Linked DNA regions of Alligator mississippiensis. The protein of the gene in region 2 purifies or fractionates together with the protein of the main gene of each other region. This does not show direct contact. Links are inferred from orthologs where the notes say so. Each region holds a gene or a part of one and is shown on either strand. Other genes may lie near its edges. The genes, in order: PPP1R9B, WDR48 and PHLPP2.

Region 1 (10,191 bases), on a different chromosome or scaffold from region 2:
ATGTCAAGGGAGAACACCAGGATCTGGGAGAGCAACTTTTCAGAAAAGCACTCCCTGGGAGGATAGGGACCAATGAGCACAAGCTAGTCAGGGAAACGTTTAGGCTAGACATATGGAAAAATGTCTTTTCCGTATGGATGACCATAAACTGGAACACACTTCCAGCAGAGGTGGTGCAGCTGCCAACCCTGGCAGTGTTCAAGAAGAGGCTGTACAAGTACCTCGTTGAGCTCAGTTGAGCCCCTTACCTCCTGCCCATGGCAGGGGACCGGACTTGAAGATCTTACAGGTCCCTTCTGGTCCTTCTTTCTATGATTCTGTGATTATTTAGTCTGGAGAAGAGAAGACTGAGGAGGGATTTAAAGATAGTTGAAGGGGGGTCTGCCCTCAATTACCTGAAGGGCAGTTCCAGAGAGGATGGAGCTAAACTGTTCTCAGTGGTGGCAGATGCCAGAACAAGAAGCAATGGTCTCAAGGTGCAGCAAGGGAGTTTATGTTAGATACTAAAAAAAGCTTTTTCACTAGGAGGATAGTAAAGCACTGGACAAGGTTACCCAGAGAGGTTGTGGGATCTCCAACCTTAGAAGTTTTTAAGACTTGGCTAGAAAAAGCCTTGGCTGGGATGATCCAGTTGGGGCTGGCCCTGCTTTGAGCAGGGGTTGGACTAGATGACCTCCTGATGTCGCTTCCAACCCTAATTTTCTAGGATTCTGTGATTCCCCATGCTGCCACGGCTGTATCATGAAGCTTCGAGCAAGCATGGGGTCTTGAGTGGGGAATGTCCAGTTCTCACTGTGCACATGCATGTCCCAGCCCACCAGTGTCCAGGTCTAAGCTAGGGCTTACCACTGTTGTGCTGAGACAGCTCAGCCCCAAGAGAAGGGGTTTTACCAGGAGAACTAACCCAGACACTGGGACAGCTCATGTCAGGGAAGAAGAGGGGGTTACCATGAGGAAGTGCTCACCACCAAGCCAAGACAAGCCAGTGGCTTACAGATCAGAAGCTGACCAGTACCAAACACCCATCCCCTGCTAGGTCACTGCAGGGACCCCATCAGGTCCCTGCTCCCCTTGGCACCCTTGGATGACCTCAAGCTGCCAGGCTGATGGCTGTACATCCTCTGCTCCACAGTGCCTGCTGCCCAAGCATTTGCAGGCAGCCAGTGAACCCAGGAGGAGCTCAGTTAGCCTGGTTGCCCACACTTGGCTGTGTCAGCAAGGACTCCCTCAACCACCCAGTTTAGCAGGGGCAGAGCGGGCAGTGAAACCCAGCACTCTGCTTTAGTAGCCTCTCCTGCCCCAAGTGAGATGCCTGCCCTGATGCCCTTCAGTGGGGTGCGCCAGCCCTCAATGTTTTAGTGACTCTATTGGACTCCACATCCACTTGAGGAGGAGGGGAGCAGGAGCACCCCGTCTGGAAGGAAGTCACTTCCCTTGCCTTCCCCCACTCCATGAATCAGGGGTCTGACCTGGATCTGAGGCTCAGCTGGGATCACTGGCAAATCAGTGATCACACGCAGAATGACAGAGCCTGCATCCTAGTCCACACCACTCTCTGCCAAGGGGGGCTGGGAAGAGACTGATGCAAGGACATCTGGCCTCCATTCCCTTTAACTATTCAGCCACAGTACATCAAATACCCCAGGCCAAAAGCTATCCCTGGTGTAGCTCAGGGGGTCACAGCAGATAGAAGCCTGGCACTGCAGTCTGGCATTGGGGTGAGCATGGCCAGTTCTCAGGGACACCCAAAGGCGCTGAGGAGACGTGTGTGGAGAATCAGGCTTAGGAAGAAGTGGCGAGACACCCCCTGACTTTGTCTTGGATAGCAGATGCCTCCCCTTAGCCTTCCCCGTAGCTGCAAGCCTTCTTCCTCCTACTAAGGCTGTCCAGCCTGGAGAAAAAACAGGCACCCAGCTGGGAGGCAGAAGAGGACCAGGGAACAGCCTTCTAGTCTCCATGATGCTCTCTAGCCCGTGCCACTGAGGGCCCCCCCTCCCCGTCCCCGCCACCATTCAGGAAGTCACATGCCCCATCCAGAGCCCTCCACGCGGGCCTGCACACACAGACATTCACACTACACTGATCGGTCTGAAATGCCAGAGGATGGCCTCGTTGGCTCTGAACGAGGAGCTGCCCCACACCCTGGGATGCACGGGGTCAATATTCGGTGGTTTCCAACTTTGGGCTAGGTTCTACCTGCACAGGAGAAGGGGCAGGAGGACTCTGCTGGCTCCTATTATAGGGAATGGCTTTACGACCCACAACCTCAGGCTCCCCATTCTTCAACTCACCGGGGTCACCTCGACCTGAAGGGCTGACTCGGATTATCACAGTGGTGTGGAGGTGGCAGGGAAACCAGACCTTCCTCAAGGCCGTGCCTGCCCTGCCTAGACCTCGGCAGCCCCCGACCCTTCTCCTAGCTCTGCCGTTCCTGACCGACATTTCTTCGGCCTCTATTCTGTTGCATCCTGCCTGGATGCTACCAGCCCCCACAACCCAGAATTGCTGCGTTTCAATGGCGCTTGCCAACAAATGGCCTGTGGGGGGGAAGCACTGAGAACACCAGTCCCTGGGCAGATGGCCAACTGGGGTGGGCAGGGGAAGCAGAGCATCCTGGGATCGCCCTGTGAGCCTCTGGGATGAGTTGGGGTGCTGGCTAGGGGACACCCAGGTGGCTGGGAAGCAGGGAGGCGCAGAGCTGAGAATGCCTGGGTTCTATTCCCAGCTCTGTCATTTCCTCCCTAAAGGCCCTAAAACGAGAATCACCCCCTTACCCGGGACTTCGTCCCCTCCATAGCACCACGTGCCAATGCAGGGCAGATCCTGTTGGCTGCAGTGCCCTGCGCTGCCCTCCCCCTGGGGTGGTGCCATGGCACCTGCCCCCTTACCTGGATGGGCGCTGTGCTGAAGTGGATTTTGCGGTTGGGCGCCGGCTCCTCCTCCTCTGAGAGTCCCGGGATCTCCAAGCAGCTTGACTCCGGCTCATACAGGCCATCGGCTTCCTCGTCCTCATCCAGCCCGCTCCCACCCGAGTCCTCCCCCAGCCCGCTGTAGGCACTAATGTCCACCAAGTCAGCCTCCGAGAAGTCCTCCTTCTTGGACTCGTCGCCCAGGTCGGCCTCCTCTTGCCCCTCGGCCTTGCCCACCTCCTCGGCAAAAGCAGCCACCTCCGGGGCCTCCAAATGTTTCTCTGCAGCCAGGCTGCCATTTTCCAAGGCTGCGTGCACCATCACCTCAGCCTGGATCACCTCTGCCCTGAGGTCGGGCCCCGGTGTCTGCCCATCAGTACCCTTGATTTTGTCCTGCTCAAAAGCCACCTCCTCTGCCCGCTCGACCACCTCGGCCTCCTGTTCTGAGTCCCCGCTCTCCTCCACCTCCACCGGCTTGATCTTCCTCACCTCCTGGACACTCTGGGAACGTGGACCTGCCCCGTCCTTGTCACCCACCCGGGGTGCACCCTGGCCCCCTGCAGCTGGCTTGGCTTGCGCCTTCTCACTCTCGAGCTGCCTGACTCTTGCCTGCAGTGAAGGCCCATCGCCAACCCTGGGGTCTGCCTTGCCCGCTTCCTGGCTCTGGAGAAAGACCCGGGACCTCTTGCTGACAATTTTGGAGTTGAGGGGCCCAACTTTGCCAGACGTTTTGTGCAGGTTGTTCCTCAGGTCGGCCTTCTCGAAAACAGCGCTAAGCTGGCTCACAGTGGGCGACACGGCCTCCGTGTCCAGCTTGTCCAGGGACTCAGTGCTACCATTGAACCTCACCACCACATCCAGCTTCCTGTCCTGGAAGCCAGCCCTCTCCTTCCTCAGCAGGAGTTTGTTGGTGGTCTCCTTCTCCTGGAGGCTCCTCTCGAAGATCTTCCGGGTCTCCTGGAGTTTGGAGAATGGCTTGTCAGGCTTGGAGTCGAAGCGGCTCACCCTCTCCGACACGCTGGTCCCCAGCTTCAGCAGTGCACTGTGGTCTACATTCTCGTTTAGGCTGCTGGCCCGGGGCAAGGACAGCCTGACAGGCTTCTCCTTCACCTTGGCCAGGTCGCAAGCCCCTTCACTCACCGGAGTGGTCCCCATCTGCAGGAACATGTTCTTGATCCGGTGGACGTTGGAGCCATACTTCTTGTTCCTGGCCTTCTTGGCTTCCTCGCTCTCGGCGCCAAGGGCATCCTCCGTGGCTTTGAGGCCCTGTATTCCAGCTTCGTAGGCGTTCCTGTGAGGCGAGGAGCTTCTCAGGCTGCTGCTGTTGCTGCTGCTGCTGGGGCTGGAGGAGTGAGGCTCAGTCTTCATCATGGTTCACCGAGGAGGCTTTGCCTGTCGCCTACACCACATAGCCTCGCTCTGCCTCTTCTGTCTGTCTGGCTCTTTCTCTCTCTATCTCCTGCTGCAGTGGACTCACATCACCAGAACCCCTCGGCTGTAGGCAGGGGCTAGGCTGTGCTGTCTGTCTACAATACAGCGGCTCGCATTGTGAAAGGGAAATGCGGGTGGGGGGGAGAGGGGATGGGAGAAGGCAAAACTGGTCCACCACTCAGCTGCCAGAGGCTGGGACCAGACTGCGGGATCTCCTAAGGGGGTGGCTCAGTTCTGGCCATGTCCGGCCAGGTGTGGAGATCCCTTGCCCCTCCTGTCTCTCTATCCTTCTCTTCTTCCTCCCCCTTTCTGTCTCTTTCTGCGCCTGAATGGCTGGTGATGGAGACCGAATGCTCTAACCCTTCTGCAATCTGCACAGCCTACCGCCCTGGCGTGGATTCCTCTGGGTCTTAGAGAAACCAAATCCTCTTTCCTCTCTACTTCCTCCCCCTTCTTTGGCAAGTGAGAAAGGAAATTCAGTTGCAAGGCGACACCCTTCCCTCTCCCCCCCAAAAAAGACTAGTCCACTGAACTAACTGACCACAAGCCAAGCCAGGAGGGGGCTGGCATAAGAAGGTCCAGCCCCCGCCTTCCACCCCCTCCCCCCCATGAACTATTTAAAAAATTGACAAACAATGTAACCCAACCCCCTCGAGCTTCCTGGCTTTGGCAAAGGGTTAGGCTCTTCCTGCCTCAGTGGGCCAAGTCCTTGGGTTCTTCCCCCTGCCCCCGCCAGCTCCTAATGCCCTTTCCCCAACTTTGGGCCAAAGGGCTCGGTCTGTCTGCGGCTGGAGGCACGTGTCTGGGTGAGTGAGCAGGGCATTCTTCCTTCTCCCATGACCCAGTGACCTGTGACCAGAGCTGTCCCTCGGGCAGGGGTGAATTGGGGTGACTGCCCCAGACCTTGCTTTTTGGGGGGCTCTGTGGACAGTGCCGTACAGGCCCTGTGGACAGCGCCACTGACACGTGCCGAGGGTGCCACCATTCTGCACGGATGCCACAAACCACCGGCTCTGCGCTCCGGCCACTCGCCACCCTGCCCCCCCCTCCCCCCCCCACAGGCTGATATGCCTCAGGCCCTGTACACTCCTAGGGTCGGCTCTGCCTGCAACACTGAGTCAGAAGGGGGTCTGGGCCGGACCTTTCTTGCCCAAGCTGCTTTCTTGCAACACAATCAGCCTGGGCAGCCAGAAGTCAGCCCCTGAGACACAGATTCAAAGAGTCGGAAGGGACCTCAGTGGGCCACCTAGTCCAACCCCCTGCCCCTGGCAGGCAAGAAAAGAGTCACCAACCCTGGGGTCATGTGATCCCAGCCAGGTGCCTGTCCAGTCTCCTCTTGAAGACCCCCAACAATGGGGCCAGCACCACCTCCCTTGGGAGCCCATTCCAGATTCTGGCAACCTTGACCATGACATGCCCTGCCTCTGAGGGGCTGGTTCTCAGTGGGGCAAACTGCACTGAAACCAGCAGGAGCTGCACAGCCTTGCTTCCCTTGGCAAATGAGAGAGCAGGGGGGCAGCTGGCTGGAAGGAACCTGCTTAGCCGAGGTGCTGACAGAGCGGTGGCTCGGCCCCCTGGGGCCCAGAGGTGCCTGAGTGTGAAGAACCTGGTCTATGATTTCAGCAGCTGCTCAGACACCTGGTGACTGTCCTCTCCCTCCCCGCCAACAGAGGCAATGACACCTTGCTGTCAGTGTGTGTTGTTAACTCCTGATTTGCATGGTGCACCTCCTTCTTCGGCTGGGGGCAGGGCTGTAAAGCTGTAGGGCTTGGCCACAGAGCACATCCAATCCTCCTCTTTGCCATGCCCTGCTACCCATCTCGCCACCCCGTCTCCCTTAGAGCACAGGGCTGGGAGCAAGGAGCCCTGTGTTCAGGTACCAGCATGAGGAATCCAGCACCCACTAGTGCTTGCCTACTTCAGGGGCTCCACTTGAGCCCCCCCCCCTTCCCCCATTTCACTCCTCTCTTGGGAAAACCTGAGCTTTGGGCACATGTATGAGGGGTCCTAGCTAACCCCAGGTCTGCTCCTGCCCCAGAGGCCGCAGGCACAAGCAGTCAGTGGGCACCAGGACCCTGCAGATGCCACACGACAAAAGCTCCCCCTCTGCTACCTTGCTTCCTGCATCTTCTGCCTTTTTGTGTGCGAACCAGCACAGTTCCCTCTTCTCCCCCGCAGCCCGCCCTGCCCCAGCCTGAGCCCAACAGCTGCTGCAGAGCCAGCTGGGGAGGGCTAGCAGCTAGCAGGGAGTGCGGCTGAGGGGCTTGGGTCCCAGCGGCCGCAGGATGCTGCCCTATGCCAACCTGGGATTCCTGTACCAGTGAGCAGCGACTGTCACTTCTCACCTGACTCATCAAGCCTCAGCATTAACCCTTGCCAGGGCACAACCAGAGGCAGAGGCACACGGTGAAATCCCACAGGGAGCCCATCACCGCATGTCAGGGATTCCCAGTTGATTAATCCTTTGCAGCCCCTAAAGGCTGTGATCATCATGCTCACGGTCCCAGTGTGCAAGGCTCTGTACACGTTGCATGAGGGGGACCCCAAAGAGCTGACAATCTTGATAGAGCAAGAGAAAATGGAGGTCCAGAGATTTGGCAGAGTGGCTGTGACAGGGGCTGGCTGAGCTGGGAGCAGGACCCACATTTCCCTATGCTGGGGGTCCTGAGCCCCAAGTAAGAAAGAGGGAGCAGAGAGGGGAAGCAAGAGGGCAAAGCAGTGACAGAGGTCTCCCAAAGACTTATTGAGGGCCCAAAGTACAGGGCTTTTCTGTCAGGTCACAGGCACATGACACTTTTTCATGGGAAACCCCATTATGTTATTCTTGCTCGTTATTTGCATTGTGGTACAGTCTGAAAAGCAGGGCCTCCTCATGCCTTGCGCTGCATCTGCACACACTCTGAAGCCATCCCTGCCCCAAAGAGTTTACAGTCTAAAAAGCCAAGGAAGAGGGTAGGGGCGTATTGTCTCCATTTTGGATGTGGGAAATGGGGGCCCGGAGATCAAGGAACTTGGCTAAGGTCACATGAGGAGTCAGTGGCAAAGGTGGAAACAGAAACCTAATCTCTGAAGAGCCAAGGCAGTACCTTATCCAGCACCCAGTCTTTGCTAACTCTTTGCTCACCTGTTCCCTGGTTCATACAGGGCTTTTTCCTGCAGATTCAAACAATTAACAATCGTTTGGCCCAAGTGACTGGAAAGTGGTCTTTCCGTATTGTCAAAATTAGAAACGTGCTCTTAGCCAGGGGGGACTGGATTTCCAAGCCAAATTTTATCACTCATTAAAATCCTCAAAGGATCACAAAGCATTTCACCAATGGGTTTAGATGAAACTATGCCCCAGGATTGTTGTAACCCGCTATTTTAATATAGCTACCTCTGGGGTGGAACGCAGCGGTCACTAGACCTGTGTGCCTTGCCAGGCTGAAAATCCAGAGGGAGAATTTTAGAGACAAGAGAATACAGTTTTCTAGGACATTGGGGTGAACACCCTGGCTGTCATCCAACTGCAGTGGAATTTGTTAACAAGCCCAAAGCAGGCAGGCCCACCTCTCATGTGAGACAGGGTACCTCCAGCAGCACAAGGCCAGGCTAGGGGACTGAATCAGCACTGAGTCAGAAGGAAATGCATTGAATCACTATTAGCACATCCTGCAGGGCTCTTTGTAGGTCTCATTCAAGTACTGACCTGGATTTGCTCTGGAGGTCACTGCCTGAGCCAGGACGGCTGGGAGGAAAGGATAGTGTTAGGTGATCTCCTCTGAGCTGTCCTGCAAGGTATATTTTTAGTCTTTCTACATCTCTTCCCAGGCACCAGCATCCTGATGTAGCCTGTTCTGTCCATCTAACACTAAGCCCCAGTATCTCCCCCATCCCAACAGCCCAGATGTTGCCTGTACTGTCCTGCCTATACACCCCAACCCTGACCTATGCTACCCCCACCCTGGGCTCCATCCCCTGTGCTGAGACTCACCATGACCTGTAGAAAGCACTCATCTGTCCTTACCAGCACCTTCATCATTCTGACCTGCCACCTAGTACATGCCCTGCCCAAACAGGTGCCGTCGATCACCCATAGCTGAATCATATGGACCACCCTGATTTTGTCAGGCAAACCCCCTGGGGGATGGGAGACTTTCATCTGTAATGAGGAAATAAAGGCTCTGCTCAGCAGGCCTGGAACATATTTAGCACCAGTCACAACTGGTCATTGAGGTCCCATCCTTTCATGCCCTTCCCTGCATGGGAAGCCATGCACGGGTCTATGCAGCAGCCTGCTACCACGCTGTTTATTTGTCAAGACTGCACTGGTATTTCCACTAAGATGAGAATAGGAGAGGAACTGCCAGATAGATCCGCCACATTGCTTGCAGAACACACTGTTCAGACTCATCTCCTCAAGCCATCTGCGCTGGGAGGAACTGGAAGGAAAAAGACTCTCTACAGTTTTCTGCACTGGGGCAAGCACAGACCTGATGGGGGTCATTCTGCAGCTGCTCCATAAGAAGGGGCAAGAGCCAGTTGCAGACACTTATGGAAAGCGAACTTGGGAGGGATATAGACCAATGCAAAGCCTGACCAACAAGGGACACGGCAGGACTTGGGACTGTGGGGGTGATATGAGTATTGATCTGCACCCCAGGCTTTAAGGAGCTAGTGATACCAAATCAGTGACATACACCAATGCCAGTCTGCCAGGTGCTGCTGCAGGGCATGAGACAGACAGGACAGGAGAGAGAAAATCTAATATCTCTTGCAGCTAAATGGAGCATGGTGTTATGTGAACCACAGCTGTGCCCATCTCCCTGCTCTCCCTGTTGAAACAGCATCAGCCCAGGCTGAACTCATTTCCTGGGCCAAGGTATCAGGTCAGGACTATGCAAGCCCTACAGTGGAGAGAGGGCAAGGAAGATGGCATCTTGGTTTCCTCGTTTCAGGCTGTCTGCAGACTCAGGCAGGAGGCACCACTCAGTGCATTTTGCAGCCAGGAGGGACAGCTGGGGTTCAGAAGAACCTGAATGTGTTGTGCAGGCTACAGAGATCCACGATGCAGCCAGATTCAGCCTGCAAAGTAGGCACTTGCTTTCCCTCTGATGCCTGTAGGCATTGATCAGAGACACACCCAGGTGTCATGGTGTAGAGGAACAGAAGAGATGAAAGGGGCAAGTAAAACAGATGAGTCAGGCAGGCAGACACACCATGCTCTCAGAGGGGCTGAAATGGAACCCAGGAGTCCACATTTGCAGTCACCAGCTCAAACAACTCTCCACTTCCTGTCACATTGACATCATTGCTTCTAAAGCAAGTATGCCAAATTCACCCTCAACATGAGCCGGTGACAGTCAGGAGAATCACCCCAAAGACAAACCTGGCTCATTCATCACTTCTGCATGTTCTTCCTCATTTTGGTTGTACTTAGATGCAGGATACTTCTTCACTTCCTGACCCAAACTGCCAGCCGCTGTGCTCAACCCCAGAGGTGGCAGCCCACCCACTGCAGGGGAAGCCCCACAAGGAGAGCTTAATCTTGTGCGGAGGTAAGTCCAGGGGTACTCTTTCAAAGCCTGTGATTTACTCTGGTGTGAGGAAGGAGTGAGAATTGAACCCCACTGTTTGCAAATCAGTTTGTCAAGAGCCCAGGGGGGCGTTCTCATGAAAGGGCTTAGCTAAACGGCAGCTCTTATGAATTATTCACCAGCATTATTAATAATAGGCACAGTGGTTCTGTCGCCACGGAGATCCCATGTGTATGTGTGCGTGGATGTGTGTTGGCGGGGTGGGGGAATGTGTCTTTTCCACTCATTGGTCCCCTCCCTGATTAGGTGCAACCACTACCCACACCTCCCACAGG
Region 2 (10,614 bases):
ACCATTTCTATTACTAAGAAAACTAGGTAAGCCAGGGGCTTGCAAATTGCATGAACTAATTCTTAATGGACAAAGTATGTCACAAATATCTCTCTTCTTATTCCCAACTATGGACTCTACATACAGATTGAGACTTAATAACTTTCCCGTGATAAGCATGAAAACTACTTATACAGAAAGTATTTAACATGTTGTTTTTAGCTTCTTGTTATGCAAAGACCAATGCCAAGATCCTGTAAATGATAAGTAGGTGCTTCATAAACCATAATAGTGGAAACATCAAATCAAGGACTAATATAGACATAAAGCTGTGCTGAAGATCTTGCTCGAGAAACGTAACGCCAAAAGATAGATTCATAGATGTTAGGGTCGGAAGGGACCTCAATAGATCATCGAGTCCGACCCCCTGCATAAGCAGGAAAGAGTGCTGGGTCTAGATGACCCCAGCTAGATACTCATCTAACCTCCTCTTGAAGACCCCCAGGGCAGGGGAGAGCACCACCTCCTTTGGGAGCCCGTTCCAGACCTTGGCCACTCGAACTGTGAAGAAGTTCTTCCTAATGTCCAACCTAAATCTGCTCTCTGCTAGCTTGTGGCCATTATTCCTTGTAACCCCTGGGGGTGCCTTGGTGAATAAATACTCACCAATTCCCTTCTGTGCCCCCGTGATGAACTTATAGGCAGCCACAAGGTCGCCTCTCAACCTTCTCTTGCGGAGGCTGAAAAGATCCAGTTTCTCTAGTCTCTCCTCGTAGGGCTTGGTCTGCAGGCCCTTGACCATACGAGTTGCCCTTCTCTGGACCCTCTCCAGGTTATCCGCATCCTTCTTGAAGTGTGGCGCCCAGAATTGCATGCAGTACTCCAACTGCGGTCTGACCAGCGCCCGATAGAGGGGAAGTATCACCTCCTTGGACCTATTCGTCACACATATGCTGATGCACGATAAAGTGCCATTGGCTTTTCTGATGGCTTCGTCACACTGCCAACTCACGTTCATCTTGGAGTCCACTAGGACTCCAAGATCCCTTTCCACTTCTGTGCCACCCAGCAGGTCATTCCCTAGGCTGTAGGTGTGCTGGACATTTTTCCTCCCTAGGTGCAGCACTTTGCATTTCTCCTTGTTGAACTGCATCCTGTTGTTTTCTGCCCACTTGTCCAACCTGTCCAGGTCTGCCTGCAGCCGTTCCCTGCCCTCCGGCGTGTCCACTTCTCCCCATAGCTTTGTGTCATCTGCAAACTTGGACAGAGTACATTTCACTCCCTCGTCCAAGTCGCTGATGAAGACATTAAAGAGAATCGGTCCAAGGACCGAGCCCTGCGGGACCCCACTGCCCACACCCTTCCAGGTCGAGACCGACCCATCCACCACGACTCTTCGGGTGCGACCCTCTAGCCAATTCGCCACCCACCGGACTGTGTAGTCATCCACATCACAGCCTCTTAACTTGTTCACCAGTATGGGGTGGGATACTGTATCAAAGGCCTTCCTGAAGTCTAAGTATACAACATCCACCCCTCCTCCTGTGTCCAGGCGTTTTGTAACCTGGTCATAGAAAGAGACTAGGTTGGTCAGGCACGATCTGCCCGCCACAAACCCATGCTGGTTTCCCCTCAGCATAATTTGCCCTGCCGGGCTCTCACAAATGTGAACCTTGATAATTTTTTCAAAGACTTTACCAAGGATGGAGGTGAGACTGACCGGCCTATAGTTGCTCAGGTCCTCCTTCCTCCCCTTTTTGAAAATGGGGACCACGTTAGCCCTTTTCCAGTCTTCTGGGACTTGGCCTGTGCGCCACGAGCGTTCGAATATTCCCGCCAGTGGCTCTGCAATGACGTCGGCCAGTGCCTTCAGCACCCTCGGATGGAGCCCATCCGGGCCTGCAGACTTAAAGGCATCCAGTTCTTCCAAGTGACTCTGCACCATCTCAGGGTCTACGCATGGAAGTCTGGTGCCTTGCTGCTGCCTCTCTACAACCCCAGTGAGAGACTTGTCGTGCCCCTCGCTTAGGAACACTGAGGCAAAGAACTCGTTGAGGAGTTCAGCCTTGTCCCCCCTATCTGTCACCAATTGTTTCCACCCATTTAGCAGGGGTCCTATTCCTCCCTGGGCCTTCCTTTTACTCCCAATATATCTAAAAAACAATTTCTTGTTGTCCTTTACTCGGTTTGCCATCCTCAGCTCCATGGTAGCTTTGGCCCGCCTAACTGCCTCCCTACAAGCACGAGCAGAGGAGGTATATTCATCTTTAGTGATCCCACCCTGTTTCCACTTTTTATGTGCTCCCCTTTTGGCCCTTAGGCTGCCCTGGATTTCTCTGGTCAGCCAGGGAAGCCTCCTGGCCCCTTTCCCTCTTTTGCCTCGCTCGGGGATCGTCTTGCTTTGTGCCCGAAGGATCGTTTCCTTTAGGCACAGCCACCCTTCTTGGGCTCCCATCCCATCAAAACTCCTACTCTGCAGTGCTTCCTTGACTAATCGCCTGAGTGCATTGAGATCAGCTTTGCTAAAGTCTAGCACTTTCACCCTACTAGTTACCTTACCCACTCTTATGTTGAATTCTATTATAAGGTGATCACTGTCTCCCAAATGGCTACCGATCTGGAGGTCCCCGATCATGTCATCTTCCGTTGCCAATACCAGATCCAGTATGGCATTCCCCCTAGTGGGACCATGCACCTCCTGTGTCAGGTGGAGGTCCTGTACACAGGTTAGAAACCTGCGTGAGCAATGGGACCTTGCTGTCTGCGTCTCCCAGCAGATGTCCGGGTAGTTTAGGTCCCCCATGACTACCGCCTCTTTAGCTTTTATGGTCTCCGAGAGTTGCCTCAGGAGCCCCGCATCTCTTTCTTCCCCTTGATGTGGGGGTCTGTGGCAGACCCCTACCACCAAATCCCTTTCTCCTTGCCCCCCATGTAGCCTAACCCACAATCCTTCTACTTCCTCAACCTCGGTTTCTGTCTTGATGAGGGTTGATGTATATTGCTCACTGACATAAAGTGCAACCCCCCCCCCCCCTTTCTTCCCCGACCTGTCCTTTCTATACAATCTATAGCCCTCAATATGTACCGCCCAGTTGTGGGATGAATCCCACCAGGTCTCTGTTAGCCCCACCAAGTCATAGGTGCAACCCCCCCCCTTTCTTCATCAGAATCTACTTGCTGGATGTCACATGAAATGTTTTATGAGAACAGCAAGCCAGAAGCAAACAGAAATAATTTAACACAAACTGCAGGGTCAAAAGACACAAAGGGAGAGGACAAAAGAGTGGTTTGTATGAAATCTCTGCTAAGGAGGGTGCATGAGAAACAAGCCCATAAGTAAAAGCATCTTAAAACTGAGGAAGTGAAGGGGTGGGGGCGGAAATCAATGTAGGAGATAATGGAAATCATTAAAAAAAAATAACACATGCAGGTTTCCCTCGCTTTATGCTGTACACGCGTTCCTGGAAAACAGCGCACAGCCTGAATTGACACAACGGGAACCCACATTACAACGCAACAACTAGGGATATGATCCAAGACCTCGACTGCGCTGACCCCGCAGACCCACTCCTACCACTTCCGCAAGACAATTTGGGTACTCGCCAACAGCAAAAAAACCACGCGCACAAGCATGGGGGTGGCGCGTGGTACCATAACAGAGACGGCAACCATAGAAACACGTGCTGCAGACAACGAGCGAGGAGCACCGATCCGATCCGATCTGATCCGCACGGGAGACTGTGTTTCGGTGCGGGTCACTCCTGCCACACGAAGCAGCGCACTGCAGGCTTCCCCGCACCGATCGTGTAACAGCTGATTGACCTCGCGTAGGGCAAAGGTTCGGTATAAAAATGGGTCCTTGCCCAGGAGCGAATCCGCGTGGACAAAACCCACGCAAGACTTCGAGTCCAGTGCGACAAGGCTGCACGAGCATCCTAAGGGGAAGGACGCTGCCACCCCAGGACTTTCCGATGCCCGGTGAGAGACGGTCGCTGTGTCTGCCCCCCCCTCCCGCCACAGACACACGCGCACAGCACGGCCTGTGCAACCGAGCAGGCTTCACGCCGTTATCGCCCCGGCGGCCACGAGCCGCAGGCAGCCGTTGGCACAGGCGGGGCGGGGCCCCGGGCACGTGCGGGGTGGGGCCCACGGCGGCGGTTGGTGACGGTTGGGGGAAGCGCTCTCCCCCTCCTCCCCCCCAACAGCTCGGAGCCCCCCGCCCGGCCTGGCCCCGCCCCGCCGGCCCCCGCCGGCCCCCGCCGCCTCACCTGCACTTTCCGCCGACCCGCCGTGTTCTGTCGGTGATGCGCCGCCATCTTGCATGTTGACACTCTGAGGTCATTTCCGAGCAGGGCCCGGAAGTTCCGCCCCCCCTCCTTCCGCCACCCGCCGCCGTTCGCGGTTGCTAGGGGAGCGGTGCGGAAGGGGCGGGGCCGCGGTTCTTTCCCGCGCGCGCCGTGGAGGGTTTGGGCTACTCGCTTTTCCGCAGGCAACTCGCGCTATTGTGGGTGTTGGGAGCTCCGTCCCTTGGCTCCTCGGGGCAGCAGTGGGGCGGCTCTGGGCTGCGGGGGTGTAGCTGTGTCCCCGTCAGGACAGGAGCAGACGTGGCTCTTGGCATAAATCCGGTGTCTTTGATGAGGCCGACTCCCATAGTTGGACAAATTCTTCTTAGCAAGCTTTCGGGCCCCCGTGCCTTTTTGTGCTCGTGCCCGAAAGCTTGCTCTCAAGAACTTTTTCTCCAGCTGTTGGAGTCGGTCTAATCGCAGATATCGGATTTACCCCCAGGACCGCGTCGGCTGAGGTGATGGGTGAATTTGGGGGCTCTGCTCCCCCCCCTCCCCCCGCCAGTGCTGTGCAGAGGGGGCGGGGGTGAGGGTGCCAGGATACCGGGGGCGCCCGCCTGGCGGGTCGGGGTGCTGGTGTGACAGAAGGTGTAAGCGGGCTCCTTCTTCCCGCTTCTTTTTTTAGAGCTCACCTTGATGCAATTGCAAGCAATGATTGAGACGGGTTTCGGGTTAGACTTCTATCAAAGCTGTACACTAAGACAAATGCAATATAATACTCCAAATCGGGCACCTTGGCCTAAATAAAAAGATTTTAGACTGGGATTATGGGGCAAAACCTGCTTCAGGTCAAAACAAATGTCTGCCTCTGGGGGACTCCCGGCTGGGAGCTGCCTGACCCAAAACAGATTTTGCCCTATAATGCCAGCCTCATCTTTTTATTGTTATTATTATTCGGGGCAATGTACTTGATAGGCGATATTATATTACACTTGGATTTGTCAATGTTTGTTGTTGATGGAATTGTAGCTCGTTAGCAGATCTAATTCATTGCTCACAACCTTTAATTGGGTAAAGATTCATTTTGAAAATGGAACCAGGCATCGAGACCTGGGCATTAGCAGCCTGTTTCAGCCTCGTGTCACCCCAGCCGCGGCTCGGCCTCCCGGCGCCCTGACCAGCAAGGGGTGTTACACTGGTTGTTAATGGAGGGTGAGAGGAGTTTATTTGACTAGTGAGACCGTTCCAGTCACAACTCAAATGCTTTATTGGACTATGTACTAGCAAAGACTTGCACTGTATCAATAAAGACAATGTTTGTGTAGCCTTGAATTCAGGGAAGAACCTGGCCCGCTGGCCAGGCTTTTCTGTTCCCCTGGGGACTTCAGTTGGTTCACTGAGCTTTGGAGAAGTCTGAAGTTTTTTTTAGCTTATGCCAATGTTTACAATTGGCTGGGTTTCATATTCCAATAAATGGTCTCTGACCGGTTTTATTTTAATTTCCTTGTTTCATTGAAGTTGTTAGAATGGACGGAACTAGATCTCCTGTCAGCACAGAAAGGCTTGGGAAAGTAAAGAGGGAGGGCTTCGTGTTTCCTTTTCCTGTTACTGTACTTCTTTGCTCTAATTTATGGTCTTCTCTAGCAAGGCTGCTTTGTTTCTACAGATAATCTACGGAAAAAAAAAACATCTATTATAGCAAAAAAACATTGAATACATGTGGTCACACACTCCTAATGTTTTAAGATAAAGCCATAATATAGTGCATTGTTTCATTAAGGTTTGGTAGCACATGCCATCAGCGTGTCTGGCTAAGCTAGTTGTTGCATCCACAGCGATTCACACTGCAGTCACTCAGGCATGAGCTTCTGCTGCTTAGCCAGTGCAGCTCGCACTGCTCCGCAGGCCAAGTGTAGGCATATAGGGCGTCTTTACACATGCTCCAGGGTAGATGGTGTGGTGCTTTACTGAGAACTGCTTTACATAAAGCATCTCTAGCATTACATGTATTCAGTGTCCCAGTCTTCAAAATGGTGGTGGAAGCGCTTTAACTAAAGCCCGTTCGATCAGCTTTAGTTCAAGTGCCTCTGCCACCATTTTTAAGTGTGGGGACGCTGAATACACGTGGAGTGGAGGCTGCTAGAGCGTGCTGGTTGGAAAAGCAAAGTCCCTGAATTCTCCCGTGACCTCGAGTCGGCATTGCCGGTGCCACAGCCCAGGCCCCACTGTGGTGCCCTGAGACTTTCTGGGGCAAGAGAGAACAGCAAATTGTGATGGCCCCATGCCTTTTTTTGAGGACCATTACACAATGCCATTCTGGTTTGATCCCTGGGAAATTCAGCAAACCGTTATAGCCCATCCCCTCACTTTATATCTCAGTTTCTTCAGCTCTAAACTGGGAATAATACCTGCCTCCCTGAGTAGCACAGAGCAAGGACACTTCTGTTTTGAAACGTGACTCCAGTGATTTCAGACTACATGCACTTGTCTCTGTGGTTTCATATAAAAAGCTTTGTGTTTTCTATTTTCTCGTCTCCCCGGGCATCTACGCATGAGCACGGGGGCTGCTCCAACGCGCTGGATGTCCGCTGTGTCAGAGCAGACTCGATTCATTGAGTCTGTTGGAGTGTGACAATTGCTGTGCCTCTCGTGTATCATGCTTAAAAATGATGGTGGAGGTGCTTGAATGAGCTTCAGTTCAAGTGCCCCCGCTGCCATGTTGATAGAGTAGACGCGGCAGCGCTTTGAGATGCTCTGATCAAAGCACCGCCACCCCCATCCCCAGAGCACGTGTAAAAGTGCCCCGGATTCAGCCAGCGCTTCCAGGCAAGAAGGCCTCCAGTGCCTCTTCATGCACCAGCCATGTAGCAGCGGTTTTGCAGGAAATAAATGGGTCCTCTGTCATCTCTGTGAAACTCCCTTGTCTTGCATGCCGATTCGGGCCTAACGGACTGGAATTTGGGAAACAAGCCTCTGGATGTGCCGAGATACGATATCATCCACGGCTGAGTCGTGCCTAGCTGTATCGCCTATTCACTCCCATTTACTCGTAATGGCAGTAAAGAGTGATTCTTGTCACGGGCCCACGGGAGAAACACTCGAGAGGAAGCTCTGGCTCGGCAGAATGTTCTGGAGGCAAGTGGGGGGAAGGGTGGAATGTTCTGGAAGAAGGCGGGGGAGGGGTGGAATGTTCTGGAAGAAGGCGGGGGAGGGGTGGAATGTTCTGGTGGTGGGGGGAGGGGTGGAATGTTCTGGAAGAAGGCAGGGGAGGGGTGGAAAGTTCTGGAGGTGGGGGGAAGGGGGGAATGTTCTGGATGCAGGCGGGGAGGGGGAGGGGTGGAGTGTTCTGGAGGCAGGCAGGGGGAGGGGTGGAGGCAGTGACAGTTGGGGTCCCTGTGAGGAGACGGCAGGTGCAGGTCCCTCGTGGAGGGAGCTGGTCAGTGTGACAGAGGGGAGGGACCCAGGGAGATTTCCGCAGGCATTGTTGGGAGGACTGGACGGTAGGCAGACGGTACGGCGTGGGTTTGTGTCAGTGTTGTTTCACTGTACCCTTGGCAAAGCATTTGATCACTTTTTTTTTTTTTTTTCCAATTACCGTTGTTCTTCCTGGTCACAAGCCCTTTTGTGTTTTCCAGGAAAGTGCCTAGTGTTTTTGTTTTTTCTTCCCCGGCCTTCCCGCACCGTGAGTTTGCCCACAAGTGGACTGTACCAAGCCAGCAAAGCCTTACATTGGCGTAAACGTTTGCTTGCTGGGGTATGTTTGTTCACATGGGGAAACTGGATAAAGCGGGGCAGCGTGCATGGGGCAGCGTGCATCGCTCAGAAGTGGCGCTCCCACCGCCGGCCAGGCTCGGAGCAGCACAGGATCGCCACTGCTGCAGACCCGGGGGAGGCCCCCAGCTAAGGTAAGGCTGCCAGGGTCAGCACAGTGCTGGCCCAGCCTCCCCTACCCCATGTGGGGTAACATGCCACACACTGTGGGGACAATTAGCTGCAGCACAAGTTGTCCTGTTCTGTGTCACAGTTCTGAACATATAGGGAACAGATGCCATGGCTGAGAAATGGTCATTTTACAGTCATTTTTCTGAATAAAACTGTACATGCACGCACGCACGCACATGCACCCCCCCCCCCAGCAATTTGAAAACAGGAAGGGTTTGAATGATTAAAGGGCATATGTAATGACATGAAATGTCAGCAAGAGGATTTCTGTGGATTCTCCTTCTTACCTTGTGTTTCTTCCGTCTGTCCCTTTTGTTTCCTTTGCTCATACTTTGACTTATCCTTTGGGGCTCACATCTGATTTGCGCTGTCAACTATGTTTGCAGAGCTCTAAAATAACGTTGCATGGTTCCTTCCTCTATTAGAAGGCAGGGTATTTTCACCATATAGACTAACCAAAGTAGGGATACGGACAGAGCACAAGCTTTTGTGATCTGAAGCTCAATTCATCAGAGATTATATGAAAGGATGTGCAGAAAGCCACGTTTAAGGAGAGGGAAAATGAGAATACAAAAGACAAGGGAGGGGGGAGAGAGAGAGAGAAGTGGGGAGGGGGACAGTGCTGGGAGAGACAAGCAAACAACCAGTAAACCCATAGGAACACAGGAGTCACCAAAGCTAACCCAGGCAGTGGGATATATCTACTTTGGTTAGTTTATAAGGCGCACATCTACCTCACCTTCTACCTGACTTCAGACACACAGCTAATTATGTTTTTCCGTCCTGTGTATCGGGTCATCCTGGCAGTTCCTTCCATCCGTCTGTCTTCTGCAGCATTGACCATCCTGTTGGAACATGAACATGTTGGAATATGATGTATACACATTTGTGAGGTGCCAAACTTTTTTTTTAATTCCTTCCATAAATCTGAACATTAAGGAAGTTGTTTGCTGCTTTTAGCCATGTTTGGGCACTGCAAAAACCCAGATGTGTACAGAAGGCTTCGAATGTGTCGACTCCGTGTTATATTTCGTAGACTTTGGTTGTCCCAGGTTGCATGGCCTGCCAGGTCTTCTGAACAATTGAATAAAAGATGCAGGTGACTGTAGGGTTCTGATGCTGGTGGGTTCTGCAGCAATATCTCTGCTTGCTGAGGGTCTCTTGCCAAAGGTATATGGGAAGAGACCCTCAGCTAGCAGAGATATTACTGCAGAACCCACCAGCATCAGTGCAAAGGTATATGGCAAGAGTGTACAGAAGTATCCAGGAGGGAGAGGAGGGGGAACAGGGCAGGGGAGAACCCTGTTTAAGGTATCTTGTAGACACATAGATTAGAACTCCGCTTGGAATAAAAAAGCTTTTAAGAGACCTGGCAAATCTTTGCAGCCCCTACTTGCTGCACTGATATCTCTAAGGCCTCCAGTGTGAGCCCAAGAATGCAAATGAGATATAAGCCCAGCTTGCACCTACTTCGAGTGTGCCCAAACCCATAAATTAAACAGCATACACAGCTGAGGAGCAGTCCTGAGCATGGAGTCCATAAATACAGATCACTCTTGGTTCTAGCATTCCTGGTTATGCCACGGTTTTATTGTTAATGGAGCATCACGATTCTTAAAGAGCAGGCTTCCCTGACCTGATCTCACCCCAGCTTCTTCCAGAAATTTGAAACTTCAGCTACTTTACAATGTTTTTTGTTAGCAGTTAGAAGCATATCTTAAGAGCTAAGGTTGTTGAGAAGAGAATTCAAAAGCTATGTCATTTTGTTTAATGTATTTGATATTGTGCAGGCATAATTTAAGGTAGTTTTTATTAGAATTCAATTTTCTATTGGCTTCACATTAAGACTATCTAGCTACCAAAGAGTCATAGATGCTTTCACAAGTGCAATATGTTGCTTTATCAGAACCTAAAGTGAGGAAGAATGGAGCACAATGGAGTCCTCTACTTAGGCAAGTACTGACCAAATTGGCTCTTTACATTTCAGCATGCATTAGTCCATTAAAAAGTTGGAGATTTCTTTTTGTAACTTAGTGGTTTCCCTGTATACTTATAAATCATTTCCTGTTATTGTGTCTTTTAAAACACATTGAAATGTTTATGTGACTATAATTCCTTTTGTGGTATCTTCTGATAAAATGAAATAACCCTTTATGTTATAGTAGGTTTGATGTTTTTATAGCTGTGATGCTCCAGGATGCAAAGTTTTTTTGTGATATCCTTTATTGGACCAACTCCCAATAGTTGGGAGGACAGTGTAGTTCAACAAGTTTTCAGGCATCAGGTGTCCTACCTCAGGTCCTGATGCCCGAAAACTTGTCTAGCAGCTCTCCCAACTATACAGCTGGTCCAATAACAAATATCATAAAAAGCCTTGCCTTTTAACATAATCCTTTATAATTCCTAATCA
Region 3 (9,797 bases), on a different chromosome or scaffold from region 2:
CCCCCATTTTCAGTGATTCTACGGTTCAGCCTGGGTAGCTGAGCACTGAACCAAGAAATGGAGCCCCTGGACGCACAGCAGTCTGAGCTGTCCAGCGCTACGCGATTAGCTCTAGCCTGGATCCACAGCATGAAACTGTTTCCAGTCCAGACACAGGCAAGGTCTTTGGGCCCAAGATCAGACCTCCTGCAAGAGCAACCTGATGGGTTTCAGCACCAGATGTGACCCTGCCCATGAAGCAAAGTGGCTCCTCCGAAGCTGAAGCCTTTCTGGGTGCTCCCAGCAGCCTTCCCTGGCGCAAAGCTCGGCCCAGAATGCACTGGACCCCCGTCCTCCACCTCTGCAACAGGCCTTGCCATGCCTCCTCCCAGGATCCAGACCGCACCTTTGACCGCTCTCCCACTGGGTCCTGGGAAGCCCCTCCCTGCCCCTCTGGGTGCACTGGCCCACCCACACCGCAACTGCAGCTCTCCTGGGACGCCCCTCAAACCAGCTCCCCTGGTTGAACCCATCTGCTGCCATCAGAGGGTGTGCCCTGGCTTGTCAGCATCTCCTCAGCCCCTCGGCCACCCGTTCAGGCTCATGCTGCAGGGTGAATTCCCAATCCCTCCGCACAAGCCTCTCCACACTCCAGCTGACCCTTAGATCTAAAGCCAGGAGCCATCTCTGACCCTCCTGTCCCATGGCACAGGACCACAGGACTAAAGGGCACCTCAGGGGCCATCTGGTCCACCCCCTGCCTGGATGCAAGATACTGCTCCTCAACCCTCCTCTACCATGCTCAGCCAGCCGCCTCCAAGGCCTCCATCGCTACCACTGCCTCACTGCGCTACAGTGAGCAAGTGCTTCCAGCTCTGCTGCAGTCTGAAGCTAGCACCTACCATCCTGCCCTGTGTAGCAAGGAACAGTGGTCATGCTCTGTCTTCCCTACAGCAGTCCAGCCCTCCAGAGATTTAAAGACTCCCATCAGTCACCTTTCCTCCAAGCCAGAAGTGCCTAGTTTTCCCAACCTTACACCTTGCAGCTGCCTTCCAAGTCTTTATCACCTATGGCACCCTCCTCCAGACCCTAACTTCTCCACATTCTCCTCGAAGTGTGGAGCACAGAACAGCGCACACGACTCTAGCTGAGGCCTACCCAGCTCCAAGCATGAGCTCGGATTTCCAACCTATCAAACCCTACTGAATTCTGCTCCTGTCTTCCAGCGTGCTCACAGTGCCTCCCAGTTCCCCTTCTCCTGTAAATCTCCCCAGGAAGCTCTCCACCGCAGCACCCAGGTCACTGACAGGCTCATCAAAACAGCACTGGACTCCAGACAAACCTGTGGAAACTCCCCCTCAAAACCTCTTGCCATTCTGACATGGATCCATTTGTTATTACCCTTGACTTGTGGTTATGCAGCCAGTTCTCCATCTTGCGGGACTTGGTCAAAAGCCCTGCTGAAGCCCAGACGTGCACACCGCACCCACTGTGTTCCCTTCCTCCACCAGGTAGTAACTCTGGCATAGGAGGAGATTGGGGTAATCAGTGCAAAGCCATGTCGGCTGCTCATGCTCTGCCTTTCCCCCCCGGCACTAACAAATGGACTTGTTGTGATACACTGAAGCAGCTTCCATACCATTGCTGCCTTTGCTATAGCCCAGTGCTCTCACCATCCCCAGCTGTGCACATGACTCATGATGAAGCACGTGTATGCAAGAGGTTAGTTACCCTCCTTCCTTCTCCTCAGGGCAGAAGAGCATGGGCTAGGCTCTAGCATACAGCTGCACTGCCTGCTGCACAGGCGCAGTCCCAGCGCCGGCCCCCGGAACGACAGCACATGCCAGACACATTCTTACCATTGTAAAAACGGATCATACAGCTGAGGTCTGCGTTTGCTGCCTCCTCCTGTATCCTCAAGGGATCTTCGAACCCGAGGCTGGCCAGGTACTCATACACGATCTGCAGGGGCTTCTCTGTGGGCTCCAGCCGTCTGGGGATGAAGTGCAGGAAAGGAAATTAGTTTGCCAAGGCCTGGCCCTAATCCCAGGCCCTCGCTCCTGCTACAGTGTGGAAGGGGCCTGGCATCCTTGGCCATGCTGGTAGGGCCCCTAGATCCACGCTCCCTGCCACAAGACATGCGAACACTTGGTGCTGCCCTCCTGATCCCTGAGACATGAGACACATGCTCCTTGGCAGTCGCATGCCAGGCGGGCTTCCCACAGCACCTCTCACTCTGCACCCAGTGAAGCTCCCGCTGCCCGTTCCAAGTCAGCCCCAGCCACGCAGTGCAAACTGCCCCCCGCCTCCCCTTCGAATGCAGCTGAGAGCACAGCAGATCAGAGAGCATGCTGGTCACACTGGTCTGGCACTCCTGGAACAAGACACTCAAGAGTCATCCCCAATGAAGCACATCTCTGTAGCTGCAGGAGGTGGCCAGAGCAGTGCCGGGATCGCCGGGGATGGGACGCAGCAGCCTCCCCAGAACACAGGATGACAGCAGACGGAGCCAGAGCGGAGCCCTGCTCTCCTCTTGTCTCCTGCACTGCAAAGGCCAGAGACTCACTGAGCGATCCTGGCAGCCCGCCCCGGCTTCTGCCCAAGCCAGAGTAGCCCAGAGACTGACGCCAGCCACAGCAACAGGACTTGGAGTCAGGACGACTCCCCTCTGGCAACTGCTCCCACAGGCAAGCCAGCCTCACCAGTAAAGCCTTCCCTTTGCTCCTACTCCGAGTTTCCTTAGCTTCCTTTGCCCACGACTGCTCCTTGCTATATTCTTCTCCTGACTTAACGGACGTTTCCCTTGCTGGTATTGACAGCCCACGATGAAAGTTGCCTTTCCCCCTCTCCTGCGAGTGCACGGAGGTCTTGGGGGCAGGCAGGTTTGCCAGACAGCCAAGCAGCACACACCGCTCTTCGCTGAGCATCCTCCAGCATGGAGACGTCCCTGCGGATGCGCTGACAGGGCAGCCAGCACAGGGCGTGTGGTTCCTGCCTGCTGAGGCAGCACGGCCGCCTGGCTTTCCCGCCCGCACCCCACAGAACCGCGCCCTCTCGCCGCCATGCCGCTGGGAGCCCACGTGCAGGGTGCTCCCCGCTGGGACCCACAAGCCCGTCTCCGAGCTGCTGCTTTCCCAGTTCCAGCCCCTCCCGGCTGCAAACATCACGTACCTCGCGGCAGGGCCTCCGACCCGCTGTAAGGAAACACGTGGTCGAGCACGTTCCGTTCCCACGTCACCAGAGCTGTGCGGAGCGGAGCCACGCCGGCCTGGCCTCTGCTCTCAGCCTCTCCACAAACTCCCCCGGGGCCTAGGCCCTTTGCTCCCTGCCAGCCCTGCCTGGCTGCTGCGACGAGGCACAAGCCAGGGCCTGGCACCCTCTGCGCTCTCCAGCCCCCCACAGAGCTCAGCCTCTTCCATCTGCTCCACGCCGCTCCGGCATCGGCCAGCTGCGTCCCAAGTGAAGGGCGGTAGCGCTGTGCCAGTCCGGACAGCCTTCCCAGGCAAAACAGGAGGTGTCCCCGGCCCAGACAGAGCTGCCGGCTGCCGCCCCACAGGCGCAAGGAAGAGGCTGGAGGGGTGCAGCACTGCGAACCTGCCCCCGCCTCCCCGCCACGGCAGCTGCTCCCCCCCCGGCTGCTGGCTGACAGCGCGCGCACGCGACGCAACGGCACCGAAGTTGCGGCCGTTTCCTCTCGCAAGGAGCTGCCGCTGCACCGAGGGGCCTCGCGGCGGGACCGTCAGACGCGGCGACCAAGGGACCCGGCAGTGGCCGAAACCCTCGTGATTCACGGGGAGACTGCAGGGACTCAAGCGGCTCCTCTCCGGCGCCAGGACAGCGTGGTCCGGAGGCGACGGCCACAAGACGACAACCCCGGGGGCGCGGCACGGCGCGGACACCAGGCACCCCAGCCCCACTGTGCCAGGCGCGGGGACACGCGCTCGCCTGGCCCCTTCCCCGCTGCCGCTCGGCTCCCGCCAGAGAGGTCTGCGCGCGGAGAGGAGGGGAGGGGAGGGGAGCCGGCCCGGCCCGCGCACGCTTCCCGCCGAGCCCTGGAGAGCCGAGCCCCCGTCCCGCGGCGGGGCGGGCTCACCTGAGCAGGTCTCCGTGCAGCTGCAGGTAGAGGCGCTGTCCCGGCGGGCAGAGCTCGGCGGCGGCCGTGTGCGCGCTGCACAGCACGAGGCGCGGGGCGGCCGCGGGCTCCGCGCCCTGGATGCTCACGCAGCCGCGCGCCGCGTCCTCCCGCAGCCAGCTCCGCTCCCGCGACCCGAACCGCCAGCTCCGGCTCCGGCTCCCGCGGCGCCGCGCCGGCCTCTGCGGAGAGAGCGGCGCTCAGCGCGGGGAAGGGCTCCCGCCGCGCGAGGGGGTGGGGGGCGCAGGACAGGACCCGCCCCGCCCCGCCCCGCCCCCGCGACCACCGCCCCGGCCCCCGCACCTTGAGCAGGCGCGGGCCCGCGCGGGGCCCGGCCCGGCCGCCCGCCTCGTCCTCGTCCGGCTCCGCCGCCTCCATGGGCCCGGCCGGCCCGGCCCGGCCCCGCCCCGCGCGAACGCGCGTCACCCGGCCCCGCCCACCCCTGTAGCCTACCGGCAGCAGCTCCGCCGCCTGGCCCCGCCCACGGGCTCGCTGGCGTGCCGGCCACGCCCACCGCCCGGCAGCCCACCTAGACTCCGCCTCCGTCGCCTCATTAGCATGCACGACCCGGACCGGCCGGGCCGGAAGCGCTACCCACTTCCGGCGGTCAGACAGCAGTCCGCTCCCCCTCGCCTTCTGCCCGCAGACCCCCCGCGCGGGCCGGGCCGCGCCCACGCCCACGCCCACGCCCGGCCGGGCTCTCTCGCTGCTCCGCGGGGCGCCGGCCAAACAGCCTGCTCTGCTGCTGCTGCTGCTGCAGGGCCCGCCTGGCGGGACGTCCCGGCCCCGACGAACACGGCGCCGCGGGAGCTGCCGGGCCGGGCCGGGCCGGGCGCAGAGCGGCAGAGAGCAGCCCCCAGCGCTGCTCGGGCCACGGGCCTGGCCCGGGGAAGGGCAGCGAGCATCCGTCCCCGCGGGGGAGCGCGGGCCGGCCCTCCACGCGCCGCCCTCGTGCGCCGGCACCACTGCTCTTCCGGGAAGGGGCCGGGCAGGCTGCGCCCGGGCTGCAGCAAGGCAGGAGCAGGAGCTGGAGCTGGCCTAGAGCTGTGCCAGGCGCGGGCTGTCTGCACGGCCAGCTCCGACGCCCGTGGTGGTTGCGTCGGCGTTTCCACTGCTGCCGATGCACCTGCCCGGGCCAGCTCGCCGCACCTCGTCCGTGCTCCAGCCGAGCTCTGCCGTAGGGAGCCTCCTCCGAGCTGCAGGCTGTGGCTGAGCCCGAGCCCGAGCCCTCCCTGCGAGCCAGCCGGCCGGGCAGGCAGGCAGGCAGGCGCGGCCCGCAAAGACCCAGCATAGCTACAGCGCACCGGGTTTATGCTGTATTTTCTGGCACACCGAGACCAGCAGTCTGAACAAAACGGTGACAGCCGTTCCCCAAGCCCGTGCCGAGCAGGGCCACTTCTGCCAGCCGTCTCGAGGAGAGCAGCACAACCTGCTCTCGAAGCACTTGCGCAGGCGGAGGGAAACCATTCCAGGAACAGGCACAGTCCAGTGCTAGGTCTATGTCCTGGAAGAGGTCAGAGACCGAGTGTGCAGGGCGGGTCCCTGCAAGCTTGGCGCTGGCAGGGCCTAGGAGAAATAGCGCAGGTTTGCAGTCCATTTCCTTCAAAGCAGCAGAGCTGGAGACGAGCGTGCTCAACATCAGCAGGCTCAAGGGATGAAGATCCAAAGTGTGCCCCTCTCCTTCCCCTGCTCCTGGAGGGTGCGAGCCACCAAGTGCCCCCATCTCTGGCGTCCAGTCGGTCTCCAGCAGGGCTCATGGAACAGACATCCGAACGGCATCGCACTCCGGCTGTGGCGCAGCAACATGCTTTCTCGAGAAGAGCTGTAAGAATGGCCCAGGACTGAGAAGGGCACCAGACCTCAGGCCTTTGGACCCACTTGCTCAAGAGACAGGCTTCCACATGAAGAACAGCTTGTTTAATTACTCTGGTTGAAGACGAACATGGGATAGATACTTTAATTAAGTACAAAGTGGGAAAAGGTCTCTTTAAACTGCATGGTCTTTATTTCAGTGCCAATGTTACAGATACAACACAAATGTCCCAGTCAGAACGAACTCAAATGGAATCCAGGGGTCTAACAGGCTCTGGAAATTAAAGGAGGGAAGGATCTGAAGTAGCTGGGAAATGGGACTTTGCAGTGTAGTCTACGATGAGTCTTCCAGCAGGCAGCAAGGCCTTTTCTTTAAGGGCAATAGAGCTCGACATCTCTTTTCTACCCACCTACCACAGCCAACAGCCACAGGACTGGACAGTAAGTTCTGAAACTTTGGGTGTGGGATGGGTCAGCCAAGGGTGGAGCTCAGAGTCTCTCATCCATAGTGAAGCTTTCCAAGGAGGCAGCTACAGAAACACCTGCGCAAGTTTGCAGAGCTGCAGCCGACGACGGAAAGCGAAGAAAACCCAAGTGCACCAGGGCTTTGTTTCAGTTCCGGCACTACAACCATCTGCTCATCTCTCACCTGCACCGCTCTTCCTGCAGTCCCAGCTTTGCAGATGAACTTCCAAGGTGTGACTTGCCCTTGGTATCATCATACAACTAAAGTTGTGTGTGTGTGGGGTGTGTGTATACAGCAATGCACAGAATTGGCCACAAAGAGTGGACAGCCTCCTCCAGCACAGGGGATATGAAAGAAAAAGGCATGGCTCCCTAACACCCTCTGGATGAGTTTCCAACCTGAACCCCAGATGAAAGTGCCTGAAGATGTCTACCCAGCTAGTGATGAATCAAAATGCACCTCACCCACCCCACAGAGAGAAGGCAGCAGAAAGAAGGGGAAGCTGCTCACTCGCTGCAGAGAGAGAGAGAGAAGGGGAGAGAGGGGGAGAGCTTCCCTGCAAGGAATTCCAGTCCTCTCTTCCAAACAGGCTGTGTTTTTGGGGGGAGAAGGGGAATGTTGTTTCCGGCTGTGAATGCATGTGTGAGGGAGTGCAGAGTAGCCCCCACAAGCAGCCAGCCTCATCAGTGGAGGGGAGGAGATTAGTCTTAGCAGATATGCTTCAGAGTCAGCAGTCGATCAGGGAAACCCCTCCACATCAGCAGGTCTCTCTGCTCCCCGTGCCCATGGTGCAGTTTGGGGGATTGCCAGGGATCACAACCTTCTTCCCAGAGTTCCTTTGATTGGGTGGGGTGAGAGTAAGAACGACGCCAGAGCCTCACTGCCAGGACTGCGGGGGGAAGTTGTTGACTTCGGCTAGATCCTGCATCGCAGAGCCCTTGTGATTATATGTCAACTTGATCCTCATACGGAGCTGTTGCTGCAGGAGGAGAGAGAAAGAGATCAGCTCTGCCACCCCACACTCCCAACTGAATTTCCCCTTCTTCCCCAGCACACATGATCCAACGTTTCTGTAGGAGGCATGGGCATGGTGTTAGCCCCACCTGTTCTGCCAGCAGGCACACCCATTATAGGGTGTTTGCTTCAGGCCTGAGCCTCCCTCTGCCGGGCTCCACTCCAGGGGGTTGGTATCACCTGCTTTTCTCAAACACAAAGTCACTTCCTGATCTTGGAGCCCTTGAGAAACCCCTGAGTGCCCTCCCTTCTGCCCAACACACCCTCCTGGGACCCAAGTCTACCAAGCCTCAAGACTTTGCTGCTCTAGGGTAGCTCTGAGGGCCTCAGGAGGTTGGGTTGTCTAAAAAAAAAAAAAGAGAAAGAAAAAGGGGTGGCTTGTTCTCCACATGAAGGAATTTTTTTAGTGTCAATTATTCTGGAAGCCTCTGTGAGGCACTACTGAATTAGCATAATTCTGTTATCACAAGAGACCAAGGTCCTAGCAGCCAAGAGGGATAGGGACCTTTACTCAAACTTTAAAACTACTTAATTTGTTTCTTTATTGTTCCTAAACACTCTGGCCACTTCAGAGAACAGCTGTCTTGATCAGAGACAGAAAAATCAAAAGAAAATTCCAAAACTACATCAGAGACTACAAAAATGCTCCAGCAAACAGCAGAGACAACCAGTTTTGGCAAAGTTGATGTGAAAACGGTGCCCTGCATTCAGGCCTGCTTTACACAAACTGCACAAAGCCAATGCTCACTTTCTTCCCATGTGGGCCACCCTTAAATAAAGTTCCACTTGTAGATGCTTTATTAACCAGGCTGCTGGGGAAGAGACCCCTGTTCCTTTTACCATTGGCTGAATCAATGGGTGGGCCACTGGATTTTTTTCAAAGCCCTTTCCTAACCATAACCACAGTACCTGCGACTCCCCATCACCAGCCAACCTGTTCCACCCAGAGAAAAAACAGGACTCTGTTCCAAATCAGTCAATACCAGACACCACAGATGCTCAAACAAACATAAGGAATTCCTTCTGCCAACTCTGCTCACCTTCTGTGGGTTCAGGACTTTGATGACTTGTGTGATGGTCCCCGAGTTAAATGCTGGGATGACACTGCTGCTAGGAGACAGGAGCTGCAGCTGGAATGTCTGAAGAGAAGGGGAAAAGACCTTTCAGAAACAGTACAGTTATGCCATTTCATCAGGCATCTAACACATTTATGTGTAATTAATGCAAGTCACTCATCGTGGTGTCCTGTGACCAGTGGGGTCCCCCAAGGCTCTGTCCTTGGACCCATACTGTTCAACATCTTCATTAATGATGTGGACACTGGAGTCAGAAGCGAACTGGTCAAGTTCGCCGATGACACCAAACTTTGGGGCAAAGCATCCACACCAGAAGACAGGCTGGTGATCCAGGCTGACCTGGACAGACTCAGCAAGTGGGCGGATGAGAATCTGACAGTGTTCAACGCCGATAAATGCAAGGTTCTCCACCTTGGGAAGAAAAACCCGCAGCATCCTTATAGGCTCGGCAGTGCTATGTTGGCTAGCACTACGGAAGAAAGACTTGGGGTCATCATTGACCACAAGATGAACATGAGCCTGCAATGCGATGCTGCGGCTAGTAAAGCGACCAAAACGCTGGCTTGCATCCATAGATGCTTCTCAAGCAAATCCCGGGACGTCATTCTCCCCTTGTACTCGGCCTTGGTGAGGCCGCAGCTGGAGTACTGCGTCTAGTTTTGGGCTCCACAATTCAAAAAGGATGTGGAGAAGCTTGAGAGAGTCCAGAGAAGAGCCACGTGCATGATCAGAGCTCAGGGAAGCAGACCCTACGATGACAGGCTGAGAGCTCTGGGGCTCTTTAGCCTGGAAAAGCGCAGGCTCAGGGGTGATCTGATGGCCACCTACAAGTTTATCAGGGGTGACCACCAGTATCTGGGGGAACGTTTGTTCACCAGAGCGCCCCAAGGGATGATGAGGTCGAACAGTCATAAACTACTACAAGACCGTTTCAGGCTGGACATAAGAATTTCTTTACTGTCCGAGCCCCCAAGGTCTGGAACAGCCTGCCACCGGAGGTGGTTCAAGCACCTACACTGAACACCTTCAAGACCAAACTGGATGCTTATCTTGCTGGGATCCTATGACCCCAGCTGACTTCCTGCCCTTTGGGCAGGGGGCTGGACTCGATGATCTTCCGAGGTCCCTTCCAGCCCTGATGTCTATGAAATCTTATCTACGTGCCTCAGACCAGAGTAGAGGGGGTGGGAAATTGTCTGGTGTGCAGGACACTGGACTCCAGGTACAGAAAACAAGTGTTCTTCTTCAGACTCCCTGGGTGACTTTAGGCAAGTTACATATCCTCTCTTGTACCACAATTCCTAATCTGCAAAACGGG

The links.
Region 1: the proteins of WDR48 (region 2) and PPP1R9B purify together in Homo sapiens (affinity purification with mass spectrometry; 3 studies listed by BioGRID and IntAct, with this or other methods). This does not show direct contact. The link is inferred for Alligator mississippiensis from reciprocal best matches to the Homo sapiens genes WDR48 and PPP1R9B.
Region 3: the proteins of WDR48 (region 2) and PHLPP2 purify together in Homo sapiens (affinity purification with mass spectrometry; 5 studies listed by BioGRID and IntAct, with this or other methods). This does not show direct contact. The link is inferred for Alligator mississippiensis from reciprocal best matches to the Homo sapiens genes WDR48 and PHLPP2.

Annotation. Positions count from the first base shown.
Region 1 is NC_081827.1:169,682,815-169,693,005, forward strand, and holds the start of PPP1R9B (neurabin-2), read right to left. Parts: upstream 4,841-10,191; 5' UTR 4,281-4,840; coding exon 2,889-4,280; intron 1-2,888. UniProt on the Homo sapiens protein: Seems to act as a scaffold protein in multiple signaling pathways. Modulates excitatory synaptic transmission and dendritic spine morphology. Binds to actin filaments (F-actin) and shows cross-linking activity. Binds along the sides of the F-actin.
Region 2 is NC_081828.1:209,182,807-209,193,420, reverse strand, and holds the start of WDR48 (WD repeat-containing protein 48), read right to left. Parts: upstream 4,345-10,614; 5' UTR 4,296-4,344; coding exon 4,248-4,295; intron 1-4,247. UniProt on the Homo sapiens protein: Regulator of deubiquitinating complexes, which acts as a strong activator of USP1, USP12 and USP46. Enhances the USP1-mediated deubiquitination of FANCD2; USP1 being almost inactive by itself.
Region 3 is NC_081833.1:77,616,715-77,626,511, reverse strand, and holds the start of PHLPP2 (PH domain leucine-rich repeat-containing protein phosphatase 2), read right to left. Parts: upstream 4,494-9,797; 5' UTR 4,490-4,493; coding exon 4,415-4,489; intron 4,294-4,414; coding exon 4,073-4,293; intron 1,973-4,072; coding exon 1,839-1,972; intron 1-1,838. Other genes in the region: AP1G1 (AP-1 complex subunit gamma-1), read right to left, coding at 7,267-7,368, 8,444-8,542. UniProt on the Homo sapiens protein: Protein phosphatase involved in regulation of Akt and PKC signaling.